2 linked regions of the Kluyveromyces lactis genome follow. The protein of the gene in region 2 purifies or fractionates together with the protein of the main gene of each other region. This does not show direct contact. Links are inferred from orthologs where the notes say so. Each region holds a gene or a part of one and is shown on either strand. Other genes may lie near its edges.

Region 1 (7,062 bases), on a different chromosome or scaffold from region 2:
TTTGATATGCAATGCATACCAGAAGCATATTCTACGGTTACCTCTGATTTCACTTTGCCGACTGCCGACAATATTTCTTTCCAGTTCACACTGTCATCTGGTAACTCCACTGCAATGCTAAAGAAGCGTAGTACGCCGTCTACGAAAACGCGAAACGCCACGAACTTAAGTGAGAAACGGAAATCATCAGTCAAAAGATCAACTTCGACTGTGTCAAGAAGGTCGAATATAAAAAGATCAAATGCGATAAGATGCAAAGGTGGACTCTTACACTATTTCACTAAGCTCGGTAAACGTGTAAGATTAAACCTTAAGAAGTTCCACCTGGCTCTAAAACGCAAACTCTTTACGTACAAACAACGTCATTTCGCAAAGTCTGATAAGAGGACAACATCACATTTACTTCGTTCAAACGGGTATTTCGCAAATATTAAGAGGTCACAATCGATGAGATCAATGGCTTCTTACTCTGATACATCCTCTCCAACCGTTCCATCTGGATTGGATATAAAGAATACCCCGATTGTCAAGCATTCCTCCAACATCAACCATCGTTCATTGAGGAGAACTCCATCCTCTATTAAGCGTGCAGCATCGATCCTTACGAGCAGTAATTCACTTATTTTTTCTAGAAGTAATTCTTCCGTCGGAAGAACTGATTCAACCCGTTTAGTTAGGTCTCAACCTTCTCTAAATTTAAACTTAGCGGTAAGACAACCTTCCATCGTTGTTAAAAATAAGGTGATACCACTTTCTCAATTCGATCATGACGATTATTGTATTAGAGAAGAAGACGAAGACGAAGAAGACGAAGATGAATATATTATCGATACACAAAAGATGCAACCACTAAAGTCAGAGATGGGATCTATTACATCATCCTTACATGATGGTGATTCTGTCTTCGAAGACGCTATGAGTTCGTCTGCCTCAATGGAATCATTGAGTGAATCTGTCAAAATTCTGAATGCAAATAAGGCTTGGGATTCTTACCTTCGTGCAGTTATCTCACAAAGAATTTTGATGAGATTGCAAGTCGCGAAGTTCCAAGCTTCACAAGATCACCATACTTACAAAGAATTGCTTGACGCCATTGTCACAGACTATGAAAGCGATGCTATCTTTTCGAATAACGACGCACAAACAGAAAATGACTCCATGTCAGAATGTGACTCCCCTCATGAGTTCGACACTCTAACTGATTCCTCGAGAAGTACACCAGCAGTTGTTCCACAGAGTTTACGCGAAAGCTTTTCGTCATTAGCTAATTTCCAAACCTCTGTGAAAGCCGGTGTTCGGAGAAATCTAACATTACCTGTAGGTATCAGCATCTGATATCTCATTTCAATACATTAGCATTAGGAGAGAGCCCATTTATTATTGACATATTTTTCCTGGACATAACTCCCTTCTTCCACCTCCCCTCATTAGCATTACAACATCATTGATTCCTATATATTCATATTAAGATAACCACGTTTGTTGTTCATATTTATCGCATTTCTAGTTCTCAACAGATAGAGTCAGATATAGACAGGGTTGTTTAATTAACTTTATCTGATGATTCTATCATTTTTGAATTTATTCTCTTTAGGCAGGTCAACAGATTTAAGATCGGGTGCGAGACCTTGCATTGAAATGTCTGTATAAAATTTATGAAGCAATCTGCACAACGGTTTCACGTACCACCTGTCCAAGTTCATGTCAAACCATCCAATGTGACCTCCCCTTGTAGTTGTTAACATTAAGGTGTACGGATTACTTTGGACTTCACGATATGGTAGCGCTTCACATCCAACAATAGGATCATCTAAGGCATTCAGAATCAGTAATGGAGTTCTCAACTTGTTTAATCTGTTCGAACTCGTACCGTGCCTGTAATATTCAAAAGACGTATTGAATCCAAACATTCTAGCCGTAAAAAAGTTATCGAATTCTTCCACTGTTTTCACTTCATGTAGGTGGTCGGCGTACATACGCGCCATTTCAGGATTTTGCTTCAAAACATCAAGATGAGATGTCGTTAGTTTAACTAAATTTTTCGCTAACGCTGGAGTGTAGGCGTATTTCCCTATCAAGTTTCTTTCCAAATGATAAGATGATGCCGTTAAATCCCATGGATTTCCCAACACAACACCTAATTCTACGTCTGATTGATCGGATTCTTGTCCCAGATAATTGGCCGTCATACTTGCCCCTAAAGAGACCCCACATAAAAAGAATTTTCTATTAGGAAACTTGTTCCTCAATTCCTTCACGCAAAACCTTACATCATCAGTCCATAGCCCACAATACAAAAATGGTGTCGTAATGCTTGATTGGCAGCACCCACGGCTATTTAAGACGCAGGCTTCAAAATTGTACTCGTTCGTGATGGTGTCAACTAAAGATCTGACATAACTTTCGTTAGAACCACCTGTCAACCCATGTAATATAATGAGCATCGGCTTTGTATCAGACGATCCGAACTTTTCATCAGCATCAAAATAGGTATACCTCGGAAGCAGTTGATTTCTCTGATTTTTGGGAACGTAACCAGTCTCTTTCCATAACGATTGGGGAACACACACATCTAGTGCACCTTCACCGCCGTCTGGATAATTGAGAATATATCTCTTATAATAAACCAAATGTTTCGATTCGAAAGTGAACATCGAAGCAAAAATCGTCTGCATATGACCACTGCAAAGAAAAGGTGGAATCACACACTTGCTATTATGTTGGAACTCCGGTGCATATTTGTCAATTAATGATTTAATGCTGACACTTTTTGCAGTTTTGCCTGGTTCGCTGTTAAATTGTAACAGCTCATCAGGTAAGAACTGCTGTACAGTTTGAACCCACGGTAATAACGAATATAATTCTCCCAATACCATTAGTAGCTGAAAAGCTCTCTAACACTCAAACACTGTTATTGATCCTCTTTTCTAATGTACCTTCTTTCTATTACATTAATCCATGAATAACTACCATAATGTTAAAGACCGATAGCATTAAGGTTTACTTTTCTTTCTTCAAAAACCCATTATAAGATAAAATACGTAAGGTCAGATGAAGACAATTCTAGATAGAAAAAAAAAAAACACACAATTGACATGCGAGCAATCGTTGGTAAAAGAAATCGCTACACGTTGGAATCAGATGCTCTATGGGTAATTAAGCGTTGCCACGGCTACAAACATATAGCCTAAAGTCACTTGTTTATTAGTATTTTGGACAAAAATTATGTAATATAATCGTTACCTATGACACACATCTACAGGTTCCGGAAACTGAAAAGAAATTTGAAAATAAAGATACCTGATTTTCACTTTTAATAATCAACCCATTTAACGAGAGGTTTATCCTCACGAGAATACAACAGCGATATACAACAAATAACGTGCTGATAGCAGAACATTAACATCTACGTCAAGGTTGCTATTAGTTTTACTAGATCGATCACCACTGTCAAAGGGTTAGAGACTTTTGAAGCGAGCTGTTTTTTTAGGTGTTGCTACGAGTTGTTTATTGGAAAATCTGGAATCTGTTTACTCCTTGTTGGTTTTCCCTCAGTGAAAGATAGAAGGATACTTCTATATCGAGGCACATATAATTACAATGATGTTCAGCAATGTACGTCTCGGTTCACGCTCTATATACGTGAAAAATCGCATATCTGCGGTATCACTTATAAATGGTGTAAGGAACCAGAGTTCTGTCAACTTCCAAAATAATCAGATGTTACAAAAGCAGAACTTGAAGCAATCGAAGCTCAAGAGTAAACGATCAAAACGTAAGGAGGACGGCGATCTTGTGGATTCGATGAAGCTTGAAGGTAAGCAAGAAAGTTCGGCATCTGCCTCTTCTTCTCCTTCTGCGGAATTAGGTAAGGATTCAGAGGAGAAGATCATAAAAATGGCCACGAAGAAGTTATCTAGAGATTATTCATGGTTACCAAGAGTACCAACCACCGAACATATATTAAGAGAAGAGTTCAACTCGGATATGTTATATTCTGGTTATAGACCCATCGTTGTTGGGGATAAGAACGCAAAGGAGAACAAATTGATGCAGTTTGCCATGAAATTAGAAAAGCTTAGTGAACCTGTACCCTGGGTATCAAGTGCCACGGGACAAGAATTTTTCAGCGAATGGGATAATGTACCATCAGAGATTATCAAAGATTTGAAACCGTTCCATCCACCAAGTATTGAAGAAACAAACAATGCAAAAAATAAAGAAGCCAAGGAAAAGTTACAAAAGCAAATATTACTGAATGAACAAGACAAATTAATAAATCGTAAGCGAGGAAGAAAGAAGCCCATAATCAGGTTATTGGATCTGAAACGCAAATTCGAGAAAGAATGAGAATTGAAATCTTTGGAATGCCAAGTTGATTCTTGACATTTTCTCGAGATTCTTTTTATTTGGGCTAACGATAAACAATTATTAGAATCTCTCTCTCTCCCTCTTTTCGTTAAAATCATTCCAGGGACTCACCATACCCCTGAAGGACTACTTTCTAAGTTAACACTATAATATTTCCAATTTTTCTTCCCTGTATTTCACGATTCATATATAGTATATATATCTAATGCATACGATTTAACAAACACAAATAATTTCGCCTTTTACTTCTGGAAACTAAAATATGTATGGAATCTTTTACAGGAGTCAAAAAATTATGACATCTTTCAGCAATGAAACGATCCGACCAGCATTTCCACTTTGTATGTTCCCTTTCCCAATTCTTAAACGTCATTAATCTTTGAAGATTTCTTTGAGTTTTTAGCTTCGCTACAACTGTTGCCGCTATAGCTATGGTGTATTATCTTTTCAACAGTTTCGAAGGACGGGAGTGCTTCATAATTCTCCAATTTCGTTCTAAAATCGAATTGTGCACTAAGCATATCGTTCCTGGTTTCCAATGTTGAACCGTTCAACGTCTCTATTGTATCACATAGTTCCATACATGTATCGAGATCAAAATCCTGCTGCCGACTATACACTATGAACTGTTCTGCATCGTTAAAATATTCTGCAAACACTTTATCGCAATCCTCTTTTACAAGTTGTAGTGATACAGAATCGTGCCAGCCCATTGAGAGATCAAGCTTTCCCTACCACTTGCTGCCTCAATGACAAGATAATCGAACCAAATCCTCTATTCTACAGAAACCTGGATAAAAATATGTGGTGGCCCGGTATTTTCGAAACTGCATCAGATACACACACATATATATATATATATATATATGACATATGCATCAGGTAGTTCCCATGCGTCGACCTATAACTTCCTTCAAAATAGCGGAGTTGCCAACAGAAACGTATATATGCCACTACTGTGAAAGTCCATAGAAATCGACTGACTCAAAAGAAAACATCTCTGAAGTTTTGTCGCATTTCTCCCACGCCAAAAATTACATCATATTGGAAAACTGAACAGCAAACACAGCATAAACGATTCGTACAAATTCCCAGCTTCTCGTTTCGTTCCAGAGGCTTTTCCAGAGATTTGTCACCTTGTCTTATCTTCAGCGAATAATATTCGAAACAACTGACGGAATTGGGGCTCTAATACAACACACAAAAGCCCTTAGTTTATCCGAGACACCGCGAAGACCGGGACTCGAGCGACGAAAACCTGTGCTCTATTTGGCTCTCTCTCCAATGGAAAACTGAAAACGAATTAATTCCGGGGTATTTCAGCGCGGGTAACAAGGTTTTTTTCTTCTCTTACATGGTATATCTGTTCAAAACTCCGAGAAAAGACACAGATGAAGAAGCATTTAACTCCGATTTTGGCGTGGGTTGGAATTTCTAACTGAGTAAGCAATTAAATTTGGTTGAAAACAGAATATACAAAACGGTTACAGAGAAAATTCACATTACAGGTTGTTTGACATCGGTACCGTTTCTATCTTTCTATATAACAGATGCCTATGGGGTCATCTTCTAAATGTTGTTTGTGTGATTAATTATTTTGTTATTGTTAATTTATTTTTATCTATCTCTATTCGACGTTCTTGATCAAGATAGCTGGTTCACCTGGAATAGCGTTTTCAATGGCTTTGCTCTTTTGAATCGTAACTTCTTCATTAGTAAATACGTTCTTGGCGGTTTCTGAGCCGTATGGTAACGAGAGAATTTCGTATTCGGAAATCTTGATTGATTGAGAAGACTTCTTCAAAATATCGAATGTAGACTTTACAGTTTCGATTTCGTTGAATAGTAAGTCTCTTGTGAAGACAGATTCTGGTGATTCAGTGGTTAATCTTTGTTTTAGTAAGGAGATGAATGGCATAGCACGCTTCATGTCCTTTGGATCGACCTTAGTCTTGACAACCTTGTTGTCGTCCAAAGTTTGGTTTTCGAATAATTCACGCACCAAATCGATGTACTTAGTTTGCCATTCTGGGAAAGTCTCAATAATGTACAAGGTCAACTTAGCTGGCTTTGAAGCATCAACGTCAGAACCCTTACCCTTCTTCTTTTTCAAAGCTTGGCCCTCTGCTTCTCTGATAGATCTTTGTAGATCTCTAACGTATTCTAGAGATACAGAGATACCGATGTCGACAGGTTTGTTGACAGTTGGGAACTTAGCGTTCTGTACGGAACCTTCTTTCTTTAAGACTTCACGGTAAATGTAGTCAGCGAAATGTGGTGCTACTGGTGCTAGCAACAATACTTGTGTTTCAATGTAACGTAGCACTAGATCACGGTGCATGACATCAGATGCCTCACGATAGTAATCTCTAGCAGCTTGATAATCGAACAAACCGTACTTCATAGCACTTTTATAATTGGTGGCAGCGTATTGCTTGTAAGTTTGTTCGATCAATGAATTCATTTCATTTTCGAACGCGATGTCAAAGAATCCATACTCTGAGTCGGTACGCAAATTCCCAATGTCCTTGACCATTTCTTCGGCCCATTCTTTCAAGTTATAGAGTCTTAGAATAGCAGCATTAGCATTAGATTCATCCAAGTTGGCATCTTCAACAGTGTCACCTGCATCAGCAAGAGCAATACGGGAAGCATCGGCACCGAATTTCGTCACCATGTCGTGCAAAGTCA
Region 2 (7,283 bases):
GTTGAATGAACCTTTGTAAACACTGATGATATTCCCCCCTTAGGAACCAATTTAAAATCAATAATAACTTGCACTCGATGAAATCCGCTAATTCCGTTGGCTCAGAAGTAATGGGTTGGGTATTGAGCCTAGATTCAAAATCAATCACTGCTTTATAATGAGAATTTAGAATATGAGTTCTAATCAGGAGTTTGGTCCGTTTGAAAACACCCACTGAGCTCATAGAAACATCACTATTGATAAATATTATGGATTCAGCGTATTTATTATCAAGTAGCATAGATACTAGTTTTTGTTCCCAGGCAGGAAATCGCTTTGAAACAACACTCCAGGTTTTGAGCTCTCTACTTTCATTGTAATTTGGATATTTGGATCTGAAATGACGATCTTGAAGCACTGCCAACGGATAAAATAGCCTACCTTGTGTCATATATAATGCAATATTCTATCAAAAACAGCCCCAAAACATGTAAAAAATGCAATCGCAAACAATGCTAACTCTTTTTCAGAGGCTTTGATGTTATTCTAGTACTACTCACCTTGTTGGTCTTTTTAATTATGTCTCGTGTGATGCAGCTTACACTGTTTCTTGTTCTCGTTCAGATATGGCTGTTTTGCATATTATGTCAATTTTTCCAATATGATTCTGTAGTAGGAAAAATATTAATCACGGTCGAATCTTTGAGTACAACCTCATCGCAGACACCTCAAGAGCAGTTTAGACAGGATAGTCAGTCAGCAAGCATCAGAATCTGTATGTCGATAGGTCGAACAGTTATACATGTGCCATGTGCGCAGCGCTTTGTTAGGGCATTTCATGCTACGCGGGTACCTTACGGCTCACCGTTGAAGGTTAAGTTGGACCTTCTGCAGAAGACACAGACACTTGTGAAGCGAACAGAGAAGGAAAATGGAAAGCAGAGGGATATCGCTCGAAGGGAAGCACGCAAAGCTCGGAAGTACGGATATTCCATTAAGAAAGCGAATGAAATCTTAAAAGGGAGACACAAAATTACTAATCTTGATAAGTCTATCAAAGTAGGACCAACTTCGGACGATGATACGAGCATTCTTTCTGTCGCTAACGATAAAAGATTAATGTATACTATACTAGGTATATCTAGACCTCAACTAAAAAATTCAATATTGGTGGAACGCGATGTTGCGAAATTTTGTAAGAGAGGCCAGTTGCAAAAGGCTTTATTTCTTATAAAGCTTGCTGGACCAAATGGTGCAGCTGGAATGAACACATTAATGACACATTATCTAGAAGTTGAAAAAGATAGCCATTCCGCTGTGGATTTATATTCTTGGAGAAAGAAGTGGCAAATACCTCCCAATGAATACACTGAAACAAATTTGTTCAAAGGGTTGGCAAGGTTGCCAGAACCAATTTCTGTCAAAGTTGCAGAACGAGTGGTGAAGATAGTTTTAAAATTGGTTGAAGATGAAAGACTCAATAATATAAATTTTAACGCTGCATTAAGTGCGTTGGCGAACTCTAACGACCCTAGTTACCTGTTCAAATGTTTTGATTTGAGACCCAAAGGTATAAAAAAAGATGCAATTGCGTACACGCAACTACTTATTGGATGTGCGAAGATTACAGATGCAGTGGAAGCCATTCAAAGGGCTGATGATATAATGAACTCTGCTGACCCCAAAGTTATCGATTCACAAATGTTTTTTCATTATTTGAACGTTTGGCACTCTAGAAGGGATCTACGATTTTCCAATTGTGTGTTGCCTCTGCTTGATATATTCTATGATTTTAAGGTCCCAAATGTTCGTTTCAAGAAAGAAATACCAGAATTTGTCAAGTTGCCTGCTTTGAAGAATTGGAATATCAAATCTAAAATGCGTTTGACTCCCCATGTTGCACATCTTTTAATGGAAAATTGCTTTAAGACCGGACAATACGAATATGGTATCGCTTTCTTCGAGCATTACCTGGGAAAAAGACCAAACCTTTTCAACAACAGAACAATAAACGCTGCGTTGAACTTAATTATCAAAGCAGATCCGGAGAACTGTGGAGAGAGATGTTATGAGCTACTTCGTAAGATGATGGATGATGGTATGTTGCGGGAACCCTTACAGCACGTCGTTTTAACTTATAAAGCATTTGAAAGACAGGCTACTAAAAAGCTAAACAACAGTGATCCTGTAAAGGCGACAGAACTTGTAAAATCATGTCTTGCACTTATGAAGGACAATGAAGCAAAGACTTCGATTCAAAATGATGAGTACAAGAGCTATTTATCCTGGAAACCATGGATGTTCTTATTGAGAATTGTTATGTCATGCAAAGACGCGTTACCTTTGACTTTCAAGAAAACGATAATAGACGAGTTCATTACCACAATGCTCTGTGATCCAGTAATGTTGTTGAAGCAGAGAGGAAGCACTCGAGAGAGTATGCGTTTTGTTTATCTTGAAGCTGTACGTTTTATAAAATCATTGGAATCATCTTTGAATTTAACCGATGAAGAACTAAAGGAAGTGCAAGCTGAAGCGGAAGATTCAAATTCTTTACTTAAAAGAAAATTTTTGTTTCGTAGGCATCTAATAAGATTAAGAAAGAGAATCCTAGAGGTTGTGGATAACCTAGAACATGATAGGGATTCTAACAGCCCCGAAATCGAAAAATTGTTTAGACAATATTGTGAAACAATATTGGACACCAACATTGATGACTTTTCACCAACATAATTGAGATGCCTCCTGTACATACTAAACCAATGAAAAAGGCATCTCACTTGGAGGCTTGTCTTTTGCTGGCTCTGCATTTCAATAATTAAACTATTGCAAACGGTGTAATAATCAAAGGTACCAATGGAAAAGACGATAGGTACATTATAACAGATATTACATAGAGCGATATATAATGTACAAATTTGCCTTAAAAATCCATAATAAAAAAGGTAAGAGAAAAATTATGTATATACAAGAGAAATGTTGATAGAGGGATCATAAAGCTCAGTGATCAGTAGTGAAGTAAAACCACCAAGAGGCAGAATTGTTTTTGAATGAACAAATACTTCTGTCTTTAGTCATATTGAAAAAGAGTTATTGTTGCAATTACTCGAAGAACTTCTTCATTTTCGACAACCATTGAATGTATTCATTATTCTCCTTGAACTCAGAGTAATTAGAAATGAATGAAGTTAAATCGGTGGTGATACCTCTGGATTCCAAGTAAGATTCCAAGGACTCTTGCAAAGATTCATCCAAGTTAGAGAATGGAGGACCGTGGTATCCCAATTCTCTCTTGATTTCGGCTTCTGCTGATTCATTCAAAGCATCTTCTGCTGATTCGTATGGGGTAACGGAATCGACGTAGAAAGAACCTTCTTGCATGTTCATCAAAAGCTCAAATGAAATTGCTGTGTTGTCGGAGTTCTTCACAACGACAATGTTGACATTGGCAAAGTTATCAGACATACTATCGAAATCTTCCTCCAATTGTTCTTCAGATTGTTCTAAAGCAGCTGGTTCGACAGGCAAGTTAGCAACTTGAGCAACGTCAAAGAAGACATTGATAGTTTCATCGTTCAATTGTCTTCTAATGTGAGCCAAGTTACGGCCTTCTTGAACGACAGGCTCAAAACCGTACTTGGACAGGAAAGTAGCCAATTCTTCTGGCAAGTCGACAATTTGTTGAGAAGTTTCTAATTCGACTTCGCTGTTTAAAACTTGAGCAACCTTCGTAGTATGTTGGTTGAAAGTGGTAGCAGTATAGGAGAGTTGACGGGAAGATGTGATAAAGGTTGGACGAGCAATCACATTTCTGGCCACCTGGATGGAAGCTGGACGAGCAGCAACACGGGAGGCAACACGGGTAATCAAACGTAGGGACATAGTATTCTATCAGGGGAGGGGGCTTATCCTATAGGACTGGTTTGTTTTAACCCTTAAATTTGGATCAAATAAGCTAGCTCATCGCTTGAAATATCACAGTTCAATATAAGAGCTTATAATCTTTCCAGAATTCTTTTTCCTTTCAGCTCTCGATCCTAGAGTGTGGCAAAAAGAAAGTATATCAGGGTAATGAGGTGGATGCCCTTTTCATATTTACCCGCACGTTCAGCGTCACGTGAATGAGTAAAGTGTAAACAAGCCAATAAAAGAGGTAAAGACGCCATCCGGGTACAAATTGCTCGAACAGTTCTAAGGGCGGACCCTGGTACAGATACAGTGCGTTGACTTCTAGGCGTACGTAATTTTCGCTTTTCGTTTTGTGAGTAGTGGTAGCCTTTAGTTTCCGAGTTATTTCACTACGTTAATTTCTTCGTTTCAGCTTGCAGAAAGATGTTCGAGACCCGAGTCCATTTCTATTGAAAATTCTTTTCTTTTGTGAGGGAAGCGAACTTTCGAACCGTTTTGGTCACTGCTTTCCGTGCTAACATTCTGGATCAAAAGTACGAAATTTTTCGAGCCTTAGTCCCATGGTAACTCTCGCATTACTATTTGACAAATGAACGTTTACTGATCAGAGTGTGTTTAGGGCAGAGAGGTAATGTCCGTTTCGACCGTAGTCTCGAACCGGAACAATGATCAACGCCTTGGTTTTCCCGAGAAAATTCGTGTTCGTTTTTGCAAGAGCACGGAGGACAACATTCATTGTCAGTTCTAAGAAAGAAAAAAAAGCCAGTTGCAAATAATTGTAACGACGTAATTTACTGCGCAAAAGAGCCCCATCTATGATTATGCTCATGATTGAAATTTATTCCCAGGATTTTGCTGTGGTGTGTTATGCAGCCATCTGCAATTCTTCTATTAAACTACTTTTCACAAGTTGAAGAGTACAAGTCCAAGAACATACTCTCAGACTAGTACCCAGGGGATCTAGATCTTTTGACTATTAGCATATTTTTCGGTCCTTATTATACCGTTCTTTCGGCTCTACTGTTGATTTCTAGATTTGTGTCTTTTTTTTTGTTCATACATTTCACAAAGCAACAGAGTGTCGTAATTAACCATAGAAACTGCTTCTTCATCCGTGATATCCTTGTAACATGTCTTGACAATTTGCGGTTCTTATTCAACAAGAGATGAGTATTGCTTGGTAAAATTGCAATCGGCATGAGGGTGTAAATAGTTTAGAAGATTTATCGCATATTTTTCTGAGTCCTTTGTTTTCAGTACCTTTCTGCCTACATAAGGTGTCTTTTCAGGTAATTTCCTACAGATGAAAAGTAATCTAATTAAGTAGCAAGGTGTCTGGTTCAACCAACGAAGTGGGCATTACTATATCACATATGCATTTATGTAATTCGACCGTATATCACGTGGATGTGCGTGCTAATTGTTGTTGTTGTTGTTTTTTTTTCCATTGGATATGTTTCTCGAATGCATGCATCTGTGTATCCTTATGCAATCCTCTTCTCAATATCTTTTTTAGAATTTCTTTTCTTTTCGGTCAAGTGTTTTCTAATTCGTAATTTCTAGGTCTAGTGCATTATTGAACCAAATAGAACAGCTTCCAACATCTTCAGCTATCTTTTAACTTTGTTCGAATCACTGCTTTAACGAAGACACCAAATAAGAACCTATACCAAGACAAAACTGTCAAATTAAGCATACAGAAAGAAAGTACTTTGTTAGTAATAGGGTGTCAAATCTAATCTATTTATAATTTCGAAGAGAAATGGAGTATATAGACACGATGGGCACCAACAAACAACAGGAAGAAATCCAACTCAAAGAACCTCTTTCGTTTTCAAGGCCTCTCGCTAGACCACCATCGATATCTGGATGTACAGAGTATAAAGATCGTGATTCAATTCAGAGCAGCTCATTCACATCGGAAAGTTCATCAGTTCTAAGTTCGTCATCCACTTTGATCGATGATAAATCGTCGAATTCATCGTTAGCATCTCCTGCCCTGAGCGCAAATTACAAAAGAAATTCAACGGAGGTACTGCCCGAAAAGATTCTGATACATGCGTCGACTTTCCCTTCAGCATCTGAACCTTCGTATAGTACATGTACACCTTCACCGTTGTCAGCATCTCATAGAAGTTCCCTTTCGTTTTCACGGAGTAGATCGCGGAGCATAGCAATGAAGTCCAATAGCTTGCCCGCTATTCCAACAATATGTCCAAAAGATCTCCGATTTCCTAAACATAAAGACTGCTCGTTTATTAGCCCTGCGGACTTGCACCATTATATTGAAAATATGGACCAGAATCCCAATGAAAAACTGATAATATTCGATACAAGGCCGTTCATAGAGTTCAACAAAAATCACATCAGATCGGCAATGCACTTGTGTCTTCCCTCGACTTTACTGAAAAGGAAAAACTTCAATCTGGAAAGGTTGATAGGTAATCTACCTTCCCCAGGAAGGGAAACTTTATCGGAATATTTATTGGGCAGTGACAGCGCCACTGCAAATGCCAAGGTGGTTATTTACGATAATGTGGCAAACCAGACAGATTATGCAGTATCATTGGCATGTTTCGGAATATCTTCTAAGATCCTCGATCATGTAAGTGACAAACAAAAGCCTTCTGTTTTCATTCTCGCAGAAGGTTTTGAATCATTTAATGCAGCATATCCTGATGACGTCGAAGTTGGTACCATGGATTTGGAAGACTCTTATACCTTAGATTCCCCATCTTCCCCTCATCAGGCAGACAATATTTCTCCAGTTCAACCGCAGTTGAAACACTCTGGTAGATCTCATTCGCATTCTTGTTCTCCTTTGAAACAGCCACCACAAACCGGTAACAGTAGGACTCTATCTGGTTCCCCAATATCCACATCATCACCATTATCATCTTTGTTTGGATTTAAACTGCCGGCACCGATAAATAATCAACATTTACCAACTTTTAAGTTACCGCAGATTGAGCATGACATTTCCGATCTAGATAATTATGTGAAGGCCGTAGAGATCAATGAACGCTCTCAAAGAAATTCTTTCTTAGAATCAGAAAATGACCTAAGATCCTTCAAATTTCCTGCTTCACCGTCCAAACAGTTCAGTACCGATGCGACTTCGTCATCATTTACTTCAACTCAAACAGCATTATCGCCAGCAGATCCTTCTAGTGGCCACAATTCATCTAAACTAAATTTCCAAGTTAAATATGATAACCTATACCACAGATTTGCTTCAGAGGAGATCAATCAGGTAGTTCCTTCCTGGTTCTGCCAATTAATGGACATTCCAAAACTGCACTTTATATCTAAGTTCCAAAGATTGGAGTTATTAGAAAGAAAAAGACTTCAGAGATTATTGGGCCCCTCATCGTCCGCTTCAATTGTCAGCACTC

Evidence for each region. Proteins that work in one complex are often made in the same cells at the same time.
Region 1: the proteins of MAM33 (region 2) and PET20 purify together in Saccharomyces cerevisiae (affinity purification with mass spectrometry; 3 studies listed by BioGRID). This does not show direct contact. The link is inferred for Kluyveromyces lactis from reciprocal best matches to the Saccharomyces cerevisiae genes MAM33 and PET20.

The regions. Positions count from the first base shown.
Region 1 is NC_006040.1:516,482-523,543, forward strand, and holds PET20 (Pet20p), read left to right. Parts: upstream 1-3,600; coding exon 3,601-4,350; downstream 4,351-7,062. Other genes in the region: AIM44 (Aim44p), read left to right, coding at 1-1,335; MGL2 (putative carboxylic ester hydrolase), read right to left, coding at 1,554-2,876; KLLA0_D06083g (uncharacterized protein), read right to left, coding at 4,734-5,084; leucine--tRNA ligase CDC60, read right to left, coding at 5,999-7,062. UniProt on the Saccharomyces cerevisiae protein: Required for respiratory growth, stability of the mitochondrial genome and for proper assembly or maintenance of mitochondrial proteins.
Region 2 is NC_006039.1:671,065-678,347, forward strand, and holds MAM33 (Mam33p), read right to left. Parts: upstream 3,862-7,283; coding exon 3,082-3,861; downstream 1-3,081. Other genes in the region: PCI8 (Pci8p), read right to left, coding at 1-430; MRX1 (Mrx1p), read left to right, coding at 559-2,712; tyrosine protein phosphatase PTP3, read left to right, coding at 5,651-7,283. UniProt on the Saccharomyces cerevisiae protein: Not known. Binds to the sorting sequence of cytochrome b2.